2 linked regions of the Diceros bicornis minor genome follow. The protein of the gene in region 2 purifies or fractionates together with the protein of the main gene of each other region. This does not show direct contact. Links are inferred from orthologs where the notes say so. Each region holds a gene or a part of one and is shown on either strand. Other genes may lie near its edges.

Evidence for each region.
Region 1: the proteins of DCP1A (region 2) and BAG4 purify together in Homo sapiens (affinity purification with mass spectrometry; 4 studies listed by BioGRID and IntAct, counting the BioPlex papers as one, with this or other methods). This does not show direct contact. The link is inferred for Diceros bicornis minor from reciprocal best matches to the Homo sapiens genes DCP1A and BAG4.

Annotation. Positions count from the first base shown.
Region 1 is NC_080768.1:34,794,293-34,804,387, reverse strand, and holds the start of BAG4 (BAG family molecular chaperone regulator 4), read right to left. Parts: upstream 4,847-10,095; 5' UTR 4,612-4,846; coding exon 4,342-4,611; intron 1-4,341. Other genes in the region: U6 snRNA-associated Sm-like protein LSm1, read left to right, coding at 5,156-5,201, 8,731-8,799. UniProt on the Homo sapiens protein: Inhibits the chaperone activity of HSP70/HSC70 by promoting substrate release. Prevents constitutive TNFRSF1A signaling. Negative regulator of PRKN translocation to damaged mitochondria.
Region 2 is NC_080741.1:53,867,175-53,877,420, forward strand, and holds the start of DCP1A (mRNA-decapping enzyme 1A), read right to left. Parts: upstream 5,017-10,246; 5' UTR 4,993-5,016; coding exon 4,858-4,992; intron 1,555-4,857; exon of another isoform or gene 1,554-1,554; coding exon 1,513-1,553; intron 1-1,512. UniProt on the Homo sapiens protein: Necessary for the degradation of mRNAs, both in normal mRNA turnover and in nonsense-mediated mRNA decay. Removes the 7-methyl guanine cap structure from mRNA molecules, yielding a 5'-phosphorylated mRNA fragment and 7m-GDP.

The DNA of each region.
Region 1 (10,095 bases), on a different chromosome or scaffold from region 2:
TCTACTAGGTTACTCTCAGCTTACAAACATATTCAAGCCACCTAATCCTAAAAATCCTTCCCTCAATCCTGGTTCCCAGTCAATGGACCACTTTCCCATTTACTAACAAACTTCTGGAAGTATAGTTTACACTAGTTGTCTTCTCATCCAAACCTCCCAGTTATTACTTTCCTATTATTTGAAACTCCCACCACTAAAGTCATTAACATCTCTTTAATTGGCAAATCCAACAGCTTCTTCTCAGCTCTCGTATCACTTACCTGCAAAATAACTGCGTCCTTGTTTGGTTGCATCACATGACTTTCCTGATTTTCCTCCTGTCTTTCTGAGTCTTCTCTCTCATTGTCTTCTTTTGGACCCTCTTTCTCTGCCACCTATTTTAGACTCTCAAAGATCTCCCCTGGCAACATCACCCAGTTTGGTAATGCAGTTATGCTTCTATTTGATGACTCTCAATCTCCAGCCCCCATCTCTCTCCTGAGCCCAACATCTATTGTTTTTGTTTTTTTGTGTGTGAGGAAGATCAGCCTTGAGCTAACATCCGATGCCAATCCTCCTCTTTTTTTGCTGAGGAAGATTGGCCCTGGGCTAACATCCATGCCCATCTTCCTCCACTCTATTATGGGACGCCGCCACAGCATGGCTTGACAAGCGGTGCGTTGGTGCGCGCCCGGGATCCAAACCAGCAAACCCCGGGCCACCACAGTGGAGTGCGCGCACTTAACTGCTGTGCCACCTGGCCAGCCCCAACCCACAGCTATTGTTTTGCTCCTACAAAAAACAACTCCTAGATGCCACAAAGACTAAACTTCAACACCAAAAAACACAAACAGAAAACCACAAATTTCTCTCTAATCACTTGCAGACATTGCATCCAGAGCTTGCACATTGTAACCACTTGTGACTAACTTGGCTTCCAGCAGAAATGAACTGAAAGCTGTACATAAACCCTTACCAAGTCTTTGTATTTCGTATTTTTTTAAGCTCCTCTATTAACGAATCATTAGTTCTTTTGGTACAAAACTAAACCATATCTTGCCCAAAACACCTGTTCCTCTTCCTTTTTAATTCCTACGAAATCTTTATTCCTATGAAATACTAAAACCTCAGAAGCACCTTCTGTTTCTCCTGCATCCCTCACTTCCAACTGATATATACCTTTGAAAATGTCTCAAATCTATGCAACTTGTATTGAAATGCATCCAAAAAAAAAGATGAGAGAGATGTAATAAAGCAAATACAATAAATGCTAATTACAGAATCTAGGTGGTATTCACTGTAGAATTCTTTCAACTCTTCTGTTTGTTTAAAAATGTTTACAATAAAATCTTGAAAAAACCCTGTCTACAATCAGACACTGTTCAAACGCATGCCCTTTTACTCTCTTCTGAACTACCCTGGGGGCCTAAGTGAGCTCTCTGTCCCCCATTCCTTCCCGTTGTAATCATCCTCCAAGACGGCTCCCAATGATCCCTGCCTCCTGGTGTTCATACCCTTGTGAAGTTGCCTCTGACACTGTACAAGAGTTGGTCTCTATGACCAATAGTATACAGCAGAAGTGATGGTATATCACTTGCGAGATTAGGTTGTAAAAGACTGCGGCTTGAGGCTACCATCTCAGCTCGTGAGCTCGCACTCTCCGTCTCTCTCTCTCTCTCATGACTTATTCTGAGGGAACATGTAAATCACCTGGGATCTTGTTAAAATGCACATTCTGGTTTGGCAGGTCTGGGGCATTTCCAGCAAGCTCCTAGGTGATGCAGATGCTGCTAGTTCAGGGATCAAACTACAGTGCTGCAAGTATAGCTAACAAGGTAAGAAAAGAAAGAAAGCAAGGAGCAGTAGATTTCCATTTTTTTCCCTGCCATATTTCTGTACTTTAATACAGTCAAATCTTTGTAGTGGTTCAGTGCAACATCACCTTAATATATTCAATTCTATAGAGCAGTGCTTCTCAAACGTGCGTGTGCATATGAATCACCTGGGGAACTTATCCAACTTCAGCGGTAAGTCTGGAGCAGGAAATCCTGAGTCTACATTTCTAACAACCTCCAAATGACACTGAAACCTCTGGTCCATGGACCACACTTTTTGAGTAGCAAGGTTTTTTAGTTGTTGTTGAGGAAGATTCGCCCTGAGCTAACACCCATGCCAATCTTCCTCTATTTTTCAGTATGTGGGCTGCCAGCACAGCATGGCTAACAGAGCAATGTAGGTCCATGCCGGAACGGAACATAACCACTAGACAACCTGGGCCACCTTGAGTAGTAAGGCTTTAAAAGGCTCCTATACCCTTTTTTTTTTTAGTTTGACATATCTGATTATATAAAAATGTAAAAAATATGTCAAAAACCACAATAAAGTTAAAAAAACAACAAATTTGGGGAAAAAAATTTGCCACATCTGTGACAACATGCATAACTTTTGCATTAATTTTCTGCTGCTGCATAAGACATTACCATCCTATACTGTTCAAGTTTCAGAAACATCAACCTGAAAGATAAACTCTTGGGATGGTTTACAAAGGCCCATTACACATTCTAGCTTTATCTCCAACTACTACAGCACCGACACCCACTCTATATGCACACCTACACTCAACCATACCTTACAACTCCCTGCATAATACTAAAATCTTATCTTCTCTAACCTTACTCCAAAAACACACTTTTGTTTTAATAATACAGCAAGCCCAAGTAGAAGTCATCAGTTTAACGGTCCTCTCCTCTTTCCCTTCAACTGACCTTCGGTCTAGTTTGCTACTTATAGGCCAAGCATTTTATCACTCTACTCTAACATGGGACTAAACTCCCATGGCCTACTTCTTCCAGATTTAGACAGAGAAAATATGGACCTTTCTTCACAATTAAACTTTTATTACTACATGTTTTTTCTCATGCAATTTTTTAAAGATATAACTAACAAACCATGAAACTCACCCTTTTAAAAGTGTACAATTCAATGGTTTTTAGTATATTCAAAATTGTGCAATCATCACCACTACCTAATTCCAGAATATTTTCATCATCCCCAAAAGAAATCCCATACCCTTTATTTATCATCCCCAACATCCCTAATGCCCCAGCCCCTGGCAACCACTAATCTTTCTCTCTACAGATTTGCCTATTCTGGACATTTCATATAAATAATATGTGGTCTTTGTGACTGGCTTCGTTCATGCAGCATGATGTTTTCAAGGTTTTTCCAGGTTGCAGAATGTATCAGTACTTCATTCCTTTCTACAGCTAAATAATTTCATTCTACGAATATACCATATTTTATCTATTCATCAATTGATGGACATTTGGGTTATTTCCTTTTTTGGCTGTTATGAATAAAGCTGCTATGAACATGCGTACACAAGTTTTTATGTGGACATATGTTTTTAGTCTTCTTGGTTATATATCTAGGAGCAGACTTGCTAAGTAATATGTTAACTCTATGCTTAATGTTTTGAGGAATTGCCAAACTACTTTCCAAAGCATTGAACCATTTTACATCCTCACCAGCAACGTATGGGAATTTCACTACTACATTTTCAACCAATGAGGATGTTATAAATCCCGAACGAAAAAAGAGGTGTGCCCCCCACCATATAACAATAATTCTCTACTAGGAATACCGCATTAACAAAACAGAAGTGTATTTCCGGCAGGAAAAAAATGTTATAGGGTCGGAGTATATTGAGCAAGTGAGTTAACCTCTCAGTGCCAACGGTTCTTTAATCGTAAAATAGGGACGCTGCAATGACATTTACGTTACAGTCGCCTTGAAATTAAATAAAACAATCCAGGTAAAGGTGCTTTGATTGGTGCGTAAAGGTGACTGATTATGCGTGATTCAGTCCTGGGCAAAGCATTAAGGGCAAAGGGCTAAATGCTCAGCTTCCTCCCCTCCCTTCGTGTTCCTTATCCGCGGGAGGGGTTCTGAGTGACGGCGGGGGCTGCAGCCACCTCCCTTCTCGGGGAGAGCCGGCCTGATGATCCACGCAGGATAAACTGTTAGAGCTCGAAAAGCAGAGCCAGGTCCCCCCAGCCCAACATCCTTCCAAGGCGAGAGATTCCGCATCCTGCTACTTAGCTTAGCAAGCCAGCGCAGGATTTTTTCCTTTTTTAATGGTAATAGACACATTTATTATGGTCGCAGCAGAAGAGGAGGGGCAAAGAGAACACAAGCATATTCTGCCACCCACGATCCCAGTCTGTCTCTCCAACCCCCTCATAAGGAAAACAAATATGAAACCCGATCCATTACGAACTCTGGAGGTGTATCAATCGCAAGGGTCCTCACCTCCCCAAACTCCCCTATCGGATCTCCCCTGGGAGATGGCGCAAAGCTTACCTGGTGGCTTCCTCCAGCTCGCCCCGGCTCCGGCCAGGCGCCTCCAGAGGGATAGTAGCCATCGCTTCCTCCGCAGTCTTCCGGCCAGGTGGTCTCAGCCGGGCCGCCCCCGCGCACCCGCCAGGAAATGGGAGGCTGGGGAGGTTCAGGGCGAGGAGGATATAAGGGCGGAGGTGGGTGCACGGGCACATCTCCAACCCCAGGTCCGTAGTAGCGGCCATAAGACGGACCGTCACTGGGGCCGTACCCCGAGCGCCTCAAGGCCGACATGGGCTCCACTGCCCCGAAGCGCTTCCCGCCCCCCACGGCCGGCCCATTGCGCAGGCGCCTGCGGCCGGGAAGGACTGGACAACAGTGAGGGGGGGGTCGGCCGACAACAGCCAATCCGAGGCCCCGTCCCGCCCCTTCGGCTGCCGAGTCCTGAGAGTGAAGGGAACAAGGTCGGTGAGTCTGGGGTCTAGGAAGCGGGAAAATGAGGGGCGGCGCCGTGTTCCTTAAAAGAGAGAATAAATTTTCGCACCATCTATCCAACCTAAATTCCTCCTTTTCTCAACAGGGATGGAGAAAGGGTGTCCCAGGACCGCCCGACGGTCCCGCCTCTTCCTGAGGACGGGCACGTGATGCCGGAAGTGGGTGGCGGTAATATGGAGGAGTTTCCGGCAGGCCCCGGCGGCTGAAAGCCGGGGCAGAAGTGCTGGTGCTGGTCCGGGTTCGTGTCCCGGTCCCGCCCAGGCGGCGACTGCGGTAGGAAGAAGGAGGTGTTGCACGCGCTGGCCCGCCGCCGCTATACATTGCAGCCTTATCTCAGCTCAAAATGAACTATATGCCCGGTACCGCCAGCCTCATCGAGGACATCGACAGTGAGTAGCCTGTCTCCTCCGGGTGAAGTCTGGGAGTCTGGGGTGAGACCCTTCCTCCTGGGCAGGTGCCTCTTCGGAGGGAGCTCGTAGAATGAGTCTGGGGCCGGGGGGACAGTGTGGTTTTAGCACAGCTCTGGATGTTCGGCGTTGACATCCTCCACGGGATGGAGGAGCCACGGGACACACCGTTTGGCCACCTCCTAGCCTACTATCTCTGCCCTGCCCCTCGCAGCCTCCGCCAGTCCCCGGTCTGGTGAGGCACAAGCTGTAGAATTCATTCCGGCTGCCGAAGGACGCGGCTGCTGAGGCCCAAATACGCAAGTTGCGCCTCCCGCCCCGGTCCACTATCTTGCACCTGCGGTATTTCGAAGTACCAGATTGTTACGGGTGGATGGATGAGAATACTTAGAGAAAGCATTCACCAAGAAACGAAAACAGTCAGACAACAGCAATTGGACTTAATTGCAGTAAACATAGGCTTTATGCTGTGTGGCCATTTGCAATCTTCTTTTACAGTGAGAGTCTTGAGCACGTTCAGGTTATGGTAGTAGAGACCGCTACCAGACAAGATCTTGACTTTTCTGGAAAGGCTGAGTCACCTCAAACTTCTTTTCTTTTGTTAGACAATTTTCTTTTGCTTTTACTGAGAAGACCTCTCTTATTGTTAGTCATTGTCTTGAAGAGGAGCTCAGTCCTGTAAAAAAGAGAAGCCACTTAGGGTTGTCCTGTCTTTCCTTTTTCTAAGCTCTCATCTGTGAATTATTCCTCAAGCAACATTTTTTAAATCGTTTTAATTGTGTGATCTGTCTCATTAACTTGTGATTGCTGCCAAATGGTTTACATACAATTCCAAACAAGTTACAGCTATATCTACAGTTAGTATGTATGCAAATTGAAGAGTAAGTCTATGATGAAATTCTCTTTTTATCGTTGTCTGAAATCATTTTTTAAATCCAAACTAGTGATTTACCTATTGAAGGAAAATTTAATGTAAACTGGACCAAATTCATATATAAGTAACCACTGTACTGTGTCTGCATTGTGTAAGCCTATCTGTATTGTGTAATGAAATGTTCAATTTTAGTTGCATGAGAATGCCCTTTTGCCCTCACCTCTCTTGTTATATATCTGAATTATTCGAGGCCCCTAACACATTCTGCCATTTTACTAAAAATAATTTTTATTCTCAAGTCCTCTAACCCCTTCTTTGTAGGTTCCAAGCCCCCTCCTTTACTGAAAAGTTTGAAGCCATTTCGTATGCCCCTTTCACTGCCTCCTTCACACACGCACGCTTTCCTCCGCTCTCCTCTGTCTTTCTGTATTTTCACCCATCCTCTCATTTGAATAGGAAGTATTCCTCCCTTTCAGTTTGTGTCTTTTATTATCCTTTCCTCCCACTGCTTCTGGAAATTTCTTCTATTGATATCCTTTTTTTCTCATATGTCCTCTCTTTCTCCTCCTGTATCCTTCCCTTCATGTATGTTCTTGTCTATCCAACTGAATTTTTTTCTCAGTTGTGTCTCCCCATCAAACTCCCGTCCCTTTTTCTATATCTTTACCCACAAATCTCTTGAGTCACCTCCATTTTGTCTCTACTTCCTGACCACCTGCCATAGACCACCTGTATTATCCCTGAAATCTGAATTTTGTTGTCAACACATCACTGAAGCTGCATTATTAAAAGGCATCAGTTTGATGTACTCTTCTGAGCTCTTCCTGCCCCTCTGCAGCATTGTGATACTATTACCACTGGATTCTTAATTCTCTTCTCTTGATTTCTCCAACAATGATCCTTACTCATTTTCTTACCTCTCCGACTATTACTCTTCCCTAAAATAGATGGTCTCGGGTTTCATCTTTGGCCAGCTTCTTTCTTTAAATCTCTGGGGACTCTCCTGGACTTAAATAGTTTTATATTAGCTCTTTGTGGACTTATCCAACATTGCTCTAATTCTGACCTCTTTGGCATTCCAGTCTTACATTTCCAGCTGCCTGTTGACTTGTCTACATAGGTGTCCTGGTAGCACCTCAGAATCACCAACAGCTAATAATCTTGCAGCCTGAGCTTGCTTCTTTTACTCCCAACTTCCCTAAGTGGTCCTCCCTGTCATGGGACTCAAAATCCATACATCATCTTTACCTCATCTCTTCAGCACCCCACTCTCTCACACATACCCACGTATACAAACTCAATTAGTTGACAAGTCCCATCACTTATAACTGCACAGTCTCAGTCGTCTCATCCTCTCCCTTCTCATCTCTACCTTGGTTCAGGTCTCTTCTTCACGTCTCAGACTCTGGGAATAGCCTCCTAAGTGCTCTCCCTTTCCTACCAGTTCAATCTTCAGTGTTTTCTTATTCCCTATGATGTCAAATCCAAACTCAGCGTGCTCCCAGGACTTTTCTGACTTTGTCTCCTGTTATTTCCCTTCACACCCTCAACTTTTAGCCAAACATTGATACATAACCCTTTTTTTTCTCCTTTCTAAATTACAGATTTCCCTCCCCTTCCCCTTCCCTGTTACTCTTCCCATGGCCAAAACTTAACTACCTTTCAAGGTCCAACTCAGATACTTCCTCCAGCTAGGTATAGTTTCTCTCAGTCTCATGTAATTAAGATTTGCTTTCTTGTGGCTCTTAATTATAGCCCAAGGAAGACTAAATTCCTTCAGGGAAGAATCAGTGTCTTGTTTCTCTGGTCTGCATCTAGAAAGTACTTTATGCATGGTATTAAAGAAATGAATGAATGAATTTTGCCAGCTATTCTAGTGACTGGCTTATTGTCATTCTTCAGTATCAGCTCAGAGTCACCTCTTCAGAGAGGTTTTCCCTAGCCATCTCTCTTCTGTAGCTACTTCCCCTGTCTCTTCATACTGTCTTGCTATCTTGTTTATTATTGCGTTTTACTAATCACAATAGCTCATTTTTTATTTGTTTGCCTTCCTTCACCAGGAATATAAGTTCATAAAGTTGGTGACTTTCTGAGTCTTATTCTCTACTGTACGTCTACGCCCCAGAACAGCACATAGTTCTCAATAAATATTATTGAATTTTTGCTCTAACTTATTATCAGCATCCTCATTTGACATGTCCGAGGCATTGTTTTTATTTAAAACCTTCCCTGATTCTAAAGTGTTAAATGGAACCTCTTCTAAGTTGAGGTGAAAATAATTCTAGAATTAAGATCATAAAGATTATCTAGACTAAATGTCTCAATTTGCAGATATAGAAACTGACATGACACTGAGAGGATTTAACTGTCAAGCATCAGCGTCTAGAGCCAGTCAGTCAGGCTTCTGACTGCTCAGCCAGGCCTTTTCCCACTGTGCGACACTGCTCTGATTCTTGTCACCACTGATCTTCTAAACCCAGAGCTGTCTTGGTCCTCCCTCTAATTTCCCAATGAACTTCTCTATAAATACATTAGAAGGGGAAGTAATAGAGCTTAAACTGCTATTACCTTTATTTTTGTTGTTACCCTGTAAACTCACTGAAGGTGTTTTTTAAAGATCTTTTTTCCTCTTCCCAGAAAAGCATTTGGTCCTGCTTCGAGATGGAAGGACACTTATAGGCTTTTTAAGAAGCATTGATCAATTTGGTATGTATTAGTTACAGACTGCTCTTATACTCTGGATAATGAGGGCTGCCCATTGTTTTTTTGTGTGTGTTATTTCATATTGAAATTTATTTATCTGCAACTTTTTCACGTGTCTGGCATAATGGAATACTGTTTTGAGTCATTACATCATTGTTTTCTAAATTATGATTAGGTGGTTCAATAGCTTGTATTCATAAGCTTGTATTTCTAAAACTGGTTTTCACTAGAACATAGGATTACAGTGTTTTGGCCTATTTTATTTTCCCCACTAGAGGGAGCCAAATGATAGACATAAACTCAATCCACTGAAAAGGTTGCTCATTTTATGTTGGCTTGGGTGTAACTACTCTTCAAAGCACTTGCTGCACTGAAGGTAATCCCTCCCTGTCCGATGAAAATGTGGTAGGAGGCATTTCCTGAAGCTTTTGAGGGACCTCAATATTAAGCTCAAGATACTACACTTAGGGATACATTAGACTCAAGAGTCTCCATCTCTGTTTTGTATCCACCGTTTTTCTAAAGAGATCTGTATTTGCTTCTGTTTGAAGGAACTTCGCAGTTCATATCAACATTTGCTGGACATCTGCTAGATCAGTGAATTTCAGCATGAGGAAAAACAACATAATTGAAATACTTGTAAGAATGATAGAAGATAAGAGCATAGATATCTGCTTTTCTTCAAATAAGACAATACCAGTTAAAAAAAGAAAAATAATTATTCTTAACAGATTGAAGTTCTAAATTTTAAGTCAAATTCATCAGACTACTTTGAGGGAAAAGTAGTAAATACTGACTTTTTACTCTCAGATTACCAGGTATGGTTATCTGACACAGTGGAAAAATAGGTTATTGCTGTATCATAATCCATGGATACTTGCATTGGGTTAAGTGAATCTTAAGTACTGAAACAAAGTTAAATCTTTGGTAAATCACATACACATACCCATACAACATAAAAACACTGTTTACTTCTAAAAAATCAGAGTTTTAATCTCTGCAGCTGTAGGTTTTAGAGTCTTCTTAGTGCCCTACTTATTTATGTTTTCTTATAGCCATGTTGATATTAGCAATTAACTGATAAAGGAATTTAATTTTCTTAACTTATTCCCACCATCATCCATGTGTTAATGCAACATAATTCCAAATACTCTCTCAGTTTGTAATTGTTTTAAAGTCTCCTACGTGCTATGTCTTGATGAAATAAGAGAAGATTGTTTGAAATTTTAGCTTTTCCCAGAATTAGAAAGTTTGGAAATCATGTTTAGCTAAATCTATTATACTCAAAATAACTGATTG
Region 2 (10,246 bases):
CTCCATGAATTTTATTAAATCAAGTCACTCATTATACTAAATTTCACATTTTCTACAATCAGTGGATCTATACTACACTGTAACAATAGGCTAGGAAAGTACTTTCCAAATATTATAGGTACCAAGGTTCTAACAACAGTTGAAGAGTTTCTAGAGATTTATATTGATAATGAAGTAGCTGAAGGGTGAAGGCCTTTTTTTTTGTTAAAGGAGAAAGATGAATAACAGAGAACCAAGTGTCAAAGAATAAAGAGCTTGGTGTACAATATCAAAGCCCTTACATTTAAGGGGAAAAAAAGATCAGTGTGTTTAGACAAGATCTCAAAGCAGTCCACCAAAATTTAGAAGAGTATTTGACAAATTCTTGTTAATTACCATCAACAGAGAAAAGTAATCATTAAAAGATAACCCACAATACAAAAAAAAAAAAAAAAAAAGGAAAAGAACCATATGTCAGTAGTAACTCCTGCTGAGTCCCTAAGCTTTAGAAATCAAGGGAAGGAACCTGCCCCAGTTAGAGCAAGACCTAAGAGCGACCCAGGAAAACAAGGAACTCCATGACTATCATAACCTGTCAGTTGCCTTCAGGCCACAAAAACTGCCAGACAAAACAAAGGCTGCAATTTGCAAACCAATCACGTTTAAAGATAATAATTAATTCTCTAAAAAGTGGAAAATAAAAAATGTGCAATTATGAATAAGCCAGGCTTTCTAAAGGACTCTCAAACTAAAAAAACACATTACCAAAGACACTGTACACAATCCAGAACTTTTGGGGGAGGTCAAAAAGGGGACAGAACCAGAGTTATAGAAGATAACCTCCCATTCAGTAACCACAGAGCAGCAGAAACTGAACTTTCAACTACATTACTTTATAGAGCTAGTCCATGTATTATAGTCTTCTCGACTACATACCTTTTTTTTTTAATATGGGGGGGAAGGAGGAAGGAATCTGTTTAAGACTCATTCATTACTAGAAAATGTTTTCTATTTTGAGACGGTTTTGCTAGATTCCTAAATAACTTCTGGTTATGTTTATTCTGAACCACAGGAAGGCTCAAAGAAAGGACATAACTTAGTTAGGATCTCACAGCTAGGGATGGATGAATACTTGAAGAGCCAAGCAGGACAGTTTCAAAGACAAATGTACAACAGAGATGAACCACTTCATATGAGATTGCTCACATTTTTTTTTAAATTTATTTGTTTGTTTGTTTTTTTGTGAGGAAGATCAGCCCTGTGCTAACATCTGCCAATCCTCCTCTTTTTTTTGCTGAGGAAGACTGGCCCTGGGCTAACATCTGTGCCCATCTTCCTCCATTTTATATGGGACGCCGCCACAGCATGGCTTGCCAAGTGGTGCGTCGGTGCGTGCCCGGGATCCGAACTGGCGAACCCTGGGCTGCCACAGTGGAGCGTGTGCACTTAACTGCTTGCACCACCGGGCCAGCCCCTACATTGCTCACATTTAAATTAAAAAAATAAATAAATATCATTAAAAAAAAAGCTTACCTTCGATATACAAATAAGGTCCCTTCTATATCCGTCTTCTCCTATAACAGACAATGAATCAATTAGTTTTTTTCTCCATAATATAACCCCAAATAGTCCCAACGGAGAAGAACTACTTCATGTTTAAGATCGACTTATTTATTTTAAAATTAGTCTCTTTTGAACAGGCCCAGTAAGTCTCTCAGTCCACAAACTACTGTTACCAGTTTCTTTTGTATCCTTTCTATGCTATTGATGCATATTAATGTATATGCAACGTTCAATCCAGCAACATGCTTGTATCTACAGCATTTTTCTTTTCCTTTTTTTTTTGGTGAGGAAGGTTAGCCCTGAGCTAACATCTGTTGCCAATCCTCCTCTTTTTTTTTTGCTGAGGAAGATTGGCCCTGGGCTAACATCTGTGCCCATCTTCCTCTTCTTCATATGTGGGGCGCCTGCCACAGCGTGGCTTGATAAGCAGGGTGTAGGTCTGTGCCCAGGATCCAAAACCGTGAACCCTAGGCCGCTGAAGCAGAGCACGTGAACTTAACCACTAGCCACTGGGCTGGCCCCTTCTTTTTTAATTTTATTTATTTATGTATTTATTTTTTTCCCCCAAAGCCCCAGTAGATAGTTGTATGTCATAGCTGCACATCCTTCTAGTTGCTGTATGTGGGACACGGCCTCAGCATGGCCGGAGAAGCAGTGCGTCGGTGCACGCCTGGGATCTGAACCCGGGCCGCCAGCAGTGGAGCGCGTGCACCTAACCGCTAAGCCACCGGGCCGGCCCTAGCTCCTTCTTTTCCTTTTTTAAATTTTAAAGAAGAAAACCCTAGAATTAGCTTTTACTTTTTTCTTTTCAATTTCAGGAAGACCGGTCCTAAGCTAACATCCGTTGCCAATCTTCCTCTTTTTTTTGTTTTGGTTGAGGAAGATTGGCCCTGAGCTAACACCTGTGCCACTCTTCCTTTATTTTGTATGTGAGTTGCTGCCACAGCGTGGCTGACGAGTGGTGAGGGTCTGTACCCAGGATCTGAACCCTTGAACCCCGGGCTGCCGAAGCCGAGTGTGCTGAAACTTAACCACTACATCACGGTCACTGGGCTGGCCCCAACTTTCACTTTTTAAAGCCAAAATGTTTTAGCCAAATTTCTTAATTTTAAAGCCAAGGTCCTGTGTACAGCAATTTCTTCACTTTTAAAGTTTATCAAAGTTAGTAAGATAAAAAAACAAAATTTTATCTTATAGGACACTTTGTTTCATCATTGGGGGATTTTCATGAGTAGCAAATTCCGTGGTTAGTTAAGAAATACTGTCAAAAATGCTTAGCTTATTTTTAGAACTTTGTTGAAGAATTATGAATACTGAAACTATACTCTGCCTTAATGTAATTACTGTAGGTCTTACATATAATTTAAAAAATTTTTTTTAGCTTAAAGTGAAATGTTTTGATTAAGAAAGTACAACTCATATCATCTTTCACTTGCTGTGATAAGAGTGTACTTAGGTTTTAAACAGTTATGATGTTTTAAAGAAACAAATAACCATAATAGTCTGCAGTTCACAGCCTGGATGGGACCTAAATATTTTAATGTAATCAACAAACTACTAGAAAACCTTAAATGTTAGTCATATCAAATTGAATTTGTTGGGATAAAAAATTTTAAAAAATATTTATCATCTTGATTTCTTCCAGGAGTATTGCCCTAGCTGAAATATCACATGAAACTTTTCCTTCCTAAGGATTCAGAGGCTTTTTCTTGCCTTTCAAATGTCAAGTTATTAGTATAAGAAATTGGTAATCAACTGTCTTACAGTGGAAGCAAACTTGCCCAAACAAAACACTGTGCAAAGTTACAACTCACTGTAAAATAATAAAGAAAGAAAGATTTTGGTTATGCTCTATGTGCCATGATCCAAATGAACGACAACAGCTTATTTTTCAATTCAGGTTATTAAAGCTTGTATTTCATATTTAAAATAGAACTCCACAATTAAAATTCCAAAATAATGAAAGTCTGTTAAAAACTGGAAATAAAAGCTTGCTGGTAATAAATCCCTGCCCCAAGTCTTCACCATTTGTCTGCAATCCATATTTCACAAATTTATAGGTAGACCAAGAAAAGAAAAATGATTAAGAACAATTCAAACTAAGGCAACGTCTAAAACAGCTACACTTAAAAAAATTCTATAACTTTCTTATTTGTGGCCTCCTATATCTCCTCTTTCAGGAGGTGAAGGAAAGAAAAAGTAAAGCAAGATGATTTTGAAAACTCTGTTCACCTGAATTAACCGTCTATAAATGCCAAATGATTTTCACAAAATTACTGATTAAATATAACCTATGTATCTGTATTATATTGTAAAGGACATATTACAATAACAATCTTTTAGAGTTTTGTTAACATAAAGATTTCATTTCTTACTGAAATGTGAACGTCAGTCACTCACGAATTCAATCCAACAAACATGTACGGATTATTTTCTAAATGTCAAGCTTATAGCTGAATGAGTTCATTAAGAAGGGTCGATTACGAGAAAACGGGAAATTATATTATTTAAACAACGAAAGAAGCTTCAAACAGGGGCTAACAAGTCACTGAACAGACTGAACGTAACTTTTCGGACCCCCTTCCGTGCAAAAAAGCCAAAAAGTACTTAGTCTGATGGGAGCATTCAGAGGTGACATCACCAGCAGCAGAGCTGAAAGGAGACACATTTACAGGGTCTCGTTTCCAAAGAGTTCAAAGGAATCCAGTTAATACGAAGCCCTTTTCCTAAGTGCCTTGAAATCTTCTCCAAAACTCGGGAAACACAGCGTAGTTCGATAAAAGCCGGATTTATCCCCACCTCCTTTTCCAAGAACTGAAACTAATTGGATTTCAAGCTTTCAATCCAAATGACCTCTGCGAAGGGGGCTCTTATTTATGTGTCTGTTGCGGGGAGAGCTTGTATTTACGAGGTGTTTACTTTATATGTTATGCATATGTAACTTATTTAATAACCCTCGAAGCTTCAAACAATCTTTCAGGCATCTTTCTGACCCCATCGGCTTCGTATTCTAAAACACACCTGCAAAGAAGGCAGGGCGCCCACGTCCCCGGACCCGACCCCAAGCGACAGATTCTCCTCCAATCCTCCCCTCTATCGGCTTTTCCCCCTGTCTTGGGCCTACTTCTCTCGCTCCTCTCCCCCGATCCAGGGCGCCCCCGACACCCCTCTGGCGCCGGCCAGGCTATTCTACAGTCCCTGGCCTCGCCTCCGTCGCCCTGGCCTCCCGCATCGCCCCCCACCCAGGGCGTTCCGCGCGGCCCCTTTAAGAGGCGGCGGCAGGGCGAGCGACCTCAGCGGCCTGGCCGCACTCACCCACTGGTTGGCCTTGGGGCAGAAGGTGTACAAAGCGACCTGGCCCGTGAGATCTGCGATGCTGGTGATGTAGGGGTCGTGCTGCTTCAGGGCCGCTAGACTCATCTCCTGCCCAGCTCGGCTCAGCGACTCCATCTTGAATTCCCGAGCCGAGCCCCTCTGGCGGGGGCGGAGTAGCGGACAGGAAGGTGCCATCGAAGCAAAGTTCCCCCAGCTGCGTCAGCGCCCTCAGCTTCCGCCTCTCCGCGGGGCCTGGCGGCGGGGCGGTACCGTAGCTATTACGCTCCGCTGCGCCCACGCCCCGGGCGGCGGGTTCCGGCCTCTGCAGGTGTTAGAGGCCCCGGTGCGGTGTGCAGGACCGCGTAGCAGAGCTGGCAGGTGGAGGTCCAGGTTTCCGCGGGCTAAAACGTCCCGGCGCCGGGATCAAGGCTGCCCAAGAGCTTCCTCCGAGCTCCTTCCGGACGAGGCTGGAGACGGACGCCGGGCCTGCGTCGGCTCGCGCACGGGAAGGGCCCGTGGCCTCAGCACGAAAACCCCGCTGTGGCCCTGCAGGGCTCCACGGGCCGTGTAGAAAGCTCAGAGAAGCGGAGAGGGGGAGCGAGGGAACCCAGAAAGTTACCCCAGATCTCGCATCTCACTAGATCACCACCTTAGCAATGTCGTGTTTTTCTGAAGGAAATTTTTGAAAAAGGCCAAACTAACCTGCCTGTAACTACACAGGAGTGTCTTGTGCTGTTCACTCTTGCTGCTTATTTTCCTCGTCTGAATCCTACGGAAATCTTTCCATCCAGTCTTGAGAAGAGTCCGTGGAGGCTTGAGTTTGTCGTGAATCGTTTAAAGCTTTAAAAAGATAACTCATTCTTTTAGCAAACAGCGAAGAGCCTGGTACTAGCTGAAGCGTAAAACAAGGTGTGGAGACTATAGGGAGCTGTCGGGGGAAGAGGGAGAATCTCCCTCTGCCCTTTCCCTTAAGGTTCTTCTGGCTGGCCAAATAATCAACAAGATAGGTTAGCAGGAGAAAATAATACCAAGTTTAATAACACGTATACATGGGAGAAAGCAGGGACACTGCGTTTCTCAACACAATAGCAGAAATTCTCGTCTTAAATATCATTTTCAGCCAATGACAAAGGAGGATTTTGGGGGTGGGGGGAGTCAGTTACAGGAGATTACCACTAAAGCACAGTAAACAAGAGTAAGGTTTATTATGTAACTCAAGGCCTCACCTTCCACATTGATAAGTCACTAGAAATGAGCTCATCCCCCTCTCTTCTCCAAACAGAGAGGGAGATACCTTCACAAATGGAGATTTCCCTTATAAATGTAAATGATTGTCTGGCAACTCCTCGCAGGGTTATCCAGAGAATGTGGCCAGAGAGACAGAACTTCTGATAAGAGGGGCTTGTTGGTGCCTTTCCTATTGTAACATTTACCCTACGTTATCTTTACAACCATCATGATAGATCTGTTCCAGAAAGGAGCCACCATGTCAAATTCTTTAGGCAGTTAGTGGGGGAGGTCAAATGTCCTTCAGAGAAAACAACCAAGGTAAAGAGATAGATTTCAGGGTGGCCAAATCTTGATCTCCCACAGATCTCTGTTCCATGTACACTCCCCCACCCCCACACCCGGTTGTTGTTGTTGTTTAAAACATTTTCTTATGTTGAAAAGATGCCCTAATGGAATTGAACGTTTTTGAAAGAAAAAGCCCATAATATTTGTATTGTTTATGATTTTACATCCATTCATATCTTACATTTTTTGCAGAATCGTGTCAACACAAACGATTCATAATCAAAATTCGGGTGAGTTTATTATGAGCCAGGCCTGAGGACTATAGCCCAGGGCCTGCCTTCCCCAAGGAAGGAAGCACTCTTAAGAAGTGGGATGTATAGAGTGGTTATATACTGTCTTGGAACAAAGAGCATATGTTACATATGATAGGAGTATCTCTTTTACTACTGTCCTGAGATGCTTGGCTGGCACAGCAGGTCAGTGGTCACAAGGTGAGCACAGCAAGTTGATAATCAATCCTTAGTTTCTAGAAATGCCAGTATGGGGGGAAGTTACATCCTTATCTCTAAGGGCATCATTCTTGTCTTTGGTATGTAGTAAATGTTTAAAGCAGACATACAATGCATGATCAATAGGCCATGTGAGGCAGAATTAGTTTTAAACTAAATGGCTTCCTCATATACTCCAATATATCCTATTGCTTTTCATTTATTTATCACATGTAAGAAGTGTGTACAAATGCAGACAAGGAAACATGTACCATTCATTCACTGTTCATTAAGCAAGTATTTATTTATTAAACTTCTAATTGTGAACTGTTAGCCCTTGGGAGCTTCACAGACTAAGACAACTTCCTGCCTGTGGGAGAAACTGAAAGAAGTAGAACAATGTCAGGAAACTGGGACAATGCTAGAAACATTTCTCTTGAAACCCAGAGGATGGAGCCACTAATGTCATCTGGTCAGGAAAGTCTAGGAAGACTTCATGGGGGAGGTGATGTTTGAATCAGTGCTCCAGGGATGAGTAGGAGTTCATCACAGAAGAAGGGCAAGGGCTCCCTTTCATTTGACAGTCTAATGGTGAGGTAGGGAAGATGTGGTCATCCTCACTTGGTAGATGATTTCGTTGAAGCTGTGTGGAGAAATCACTGGCTCAAAGTTCCACACTAGTCAGGGAGGATCTAGTATTAGAATTCAGGGACTCCTGCCTTCTACCCCAGGGTCCTTTCCTCCACACTATGGCTGCCTTTCTTCCTCCTGGAGACAGAGCCCTACTCCCCTCTACCTACTTTCAATCTGTACCCTGATTTAAAAAGATATATATGTATTTTTTGAATAGGTAATACATTCCCTTGGTACAAAATCCAAAGGCACACATGAAACTGAATTTAGGTTTTTTTCTTTTTAAAAAGTTATTATTTTTTTATTGAGGTGTAATTGACATATAACATTATATGAGTTTCAGGTGTACAACATAATGATTTGATATTTTTATATATTGCAAAATGATCACCACAATAGCCCAGTTAACATCCATCACCGTACATACTTACAAAATTTTTTTCTTGTGTTGAGGGCTTTTAAGATCCACTCTCCTAGCTGCTTTCAAATATGCAATGCAATATTATTAACTATAGTCACCACGCTGTACATTACATCTTTGTGACTTATTCATTAGTTTTTTTTTCTTATATAGATTTCCTAAAGTAATCGAAGACATTTCCTTTTCATTTATTATTTTTGGTTGAATAGGGATAAACTAGTGAAGAACCCCAAGCTATTTTAGGGAGTTTTCATATTTGGAATAGAAAATTGCTTCAAAATGCTTGTTTGCATGACCCAAAAACATTAGTGTTGACTTTAATGCCCTATGCAGCTCTTAAGATATGTTAAAGAAAATGTGAACATTTTGGAATTGAAAATCTTCTTGTTTTACTTTGGGACCTATTTTTGCCTTATATTTGTGAATCAAACCTTAAGAGCTTTCTTGTGTCTTTTAGACAATAGGCTTTGAGAGGGCAGAGATTGCATCTTAGTCTATTAAGTCTCCAGTACCTAGTACAGCCCATGGCAAAGAATAGACTCTCAGTAAATATTGGTGCATGAATGTCATCTTGAAACTCAACTCCTTTAAGGCCATGACAGAGACTAGAGGGAGGGGAGGGGAGATGAGTGGCTGGGATCAGAGGCGGGAAAGAGTCTAACTCTGCACTGAAAAACCTGTGGTCACTTTTGAGTTGTGTTCCATGAATGTCAATTTTTTTAAAAAATATTTTTTAAAAAATAATTTAAAATATGACAATCTAAAAAAACCCAATCAATCCAACCCCACCTCTCTTTCATTCTGAGTGCCTTTGTGGTAAAAAACAAAACTTACCATTTAAAATCATGGGGTCTAGGGACTGGCCCAGTGGTGGAGTGGTTAAGTTCGCATGCTCCACTTCGGAGGCCCTGGGTTCGTGGGTTTAGATCCTGGGTGTGGACCTACACACCACTTATCAAGCCATGCTGCAGTGGTGTCCCACATACAAAATAGAGGAATATTGGCACAGATGTCAGTCCAGGGACAATCTTCCTCACAAAATAAAATAAAATGAAAAATAAAATCACAGGGTCTAAGGTAAAGGACACTAGAATACAAGTCAGAAGATGAGTGTTTTAGTTCCAAGTTTACCAGCTGTGTAACTTTGTCAGTCAGTCACAGACTTCCCATTTCTCTGGTGTAAAATCCAAAGTCCTTGCCTTGGCCTAGGAGACATTGCCTGGTCTGGCCTCCTGCTGTCTTTCCATCTCCATTTTCTATGAATTGCTCTTTCAGTGATTCTACCCCAGCCCATTGACCCCCTTGCTATTCTTGAACATGTGCCAAGTGAGTCTTGCCTCAGGGCCTTTGCACTTGTTGTTCCCCCTTTCTAGAACATTCTTCTCTTTGATATCCCTGTGATATCCTTTTGGCTCATTTCCTCACTTTCTTCATAGCTCTTATCTGCAAATTGTAATTATTTTATTTACTTATGTTTTGTCTATCTTGTCAGCTCAATGAAGCAGGAACCACGTCTGTCTTGTTTACTGTCACATTCTCAGTACCTGGCAGAGAGGCAAGGGCTAATAACTATTTGTTGGATTAATTGGAATGTTAGTATGTTTTCTCTTTATCTATAGCATAACTCTGAGAGAAGGGATGGTTGTTTAAACTCACATCTAACAAAGCATTTGTTTGTCATACGTGCTAAATAAATAATGATGCCTGATTTGCTTGTATTAACATATTTTGATTCATAAGCTCTATGCTTCCTGAAGCAGACATGTTGTTTTTAGTATAGCACAGAGCAAGCATTCAGCACCTTTTCAATCTTGCAGCTTTCCCTGTGTCCATTTTCTCTCCATCTCTCTGTCTCCCCTCTCTTCCACTTCTCACTCTCCATCTCCCTTTCTCTCTCAGATTTTGAAGATTTATTCTAGAAGTATCTGCTTATTACTGTTTGCCTTTTTAGGCAGAGAAACTAAGCTAATTTTCCCAAAGTCATATAATGATTCATTTGCTGAGTTGGGATTAGCATCTTCTAACCATGGCTTTGAGGTAGATCGTGTATCTTGCTACCATTCTGCCTGGCACATTCTTAAATTACACTGGCTACATGTGAGTGAAACTTGTTATCCTTGTGGTGCTGTTTCACTACTGATATTTATTTTACATGATTGATTTCCAAAAAGTTGTGGACTTACTATAAAATTCATTAGCTTGCCCTTACGAGATACTTAGGATGGTAATTCTTTCCTAGAGTTTTTCCAGAAAGGTCTCAGACCTCTGTATTTTAAAATGTTACTTTATAAACGTATTTTAAAAGGTGCCAGATGTTTTCTAGAATTATATT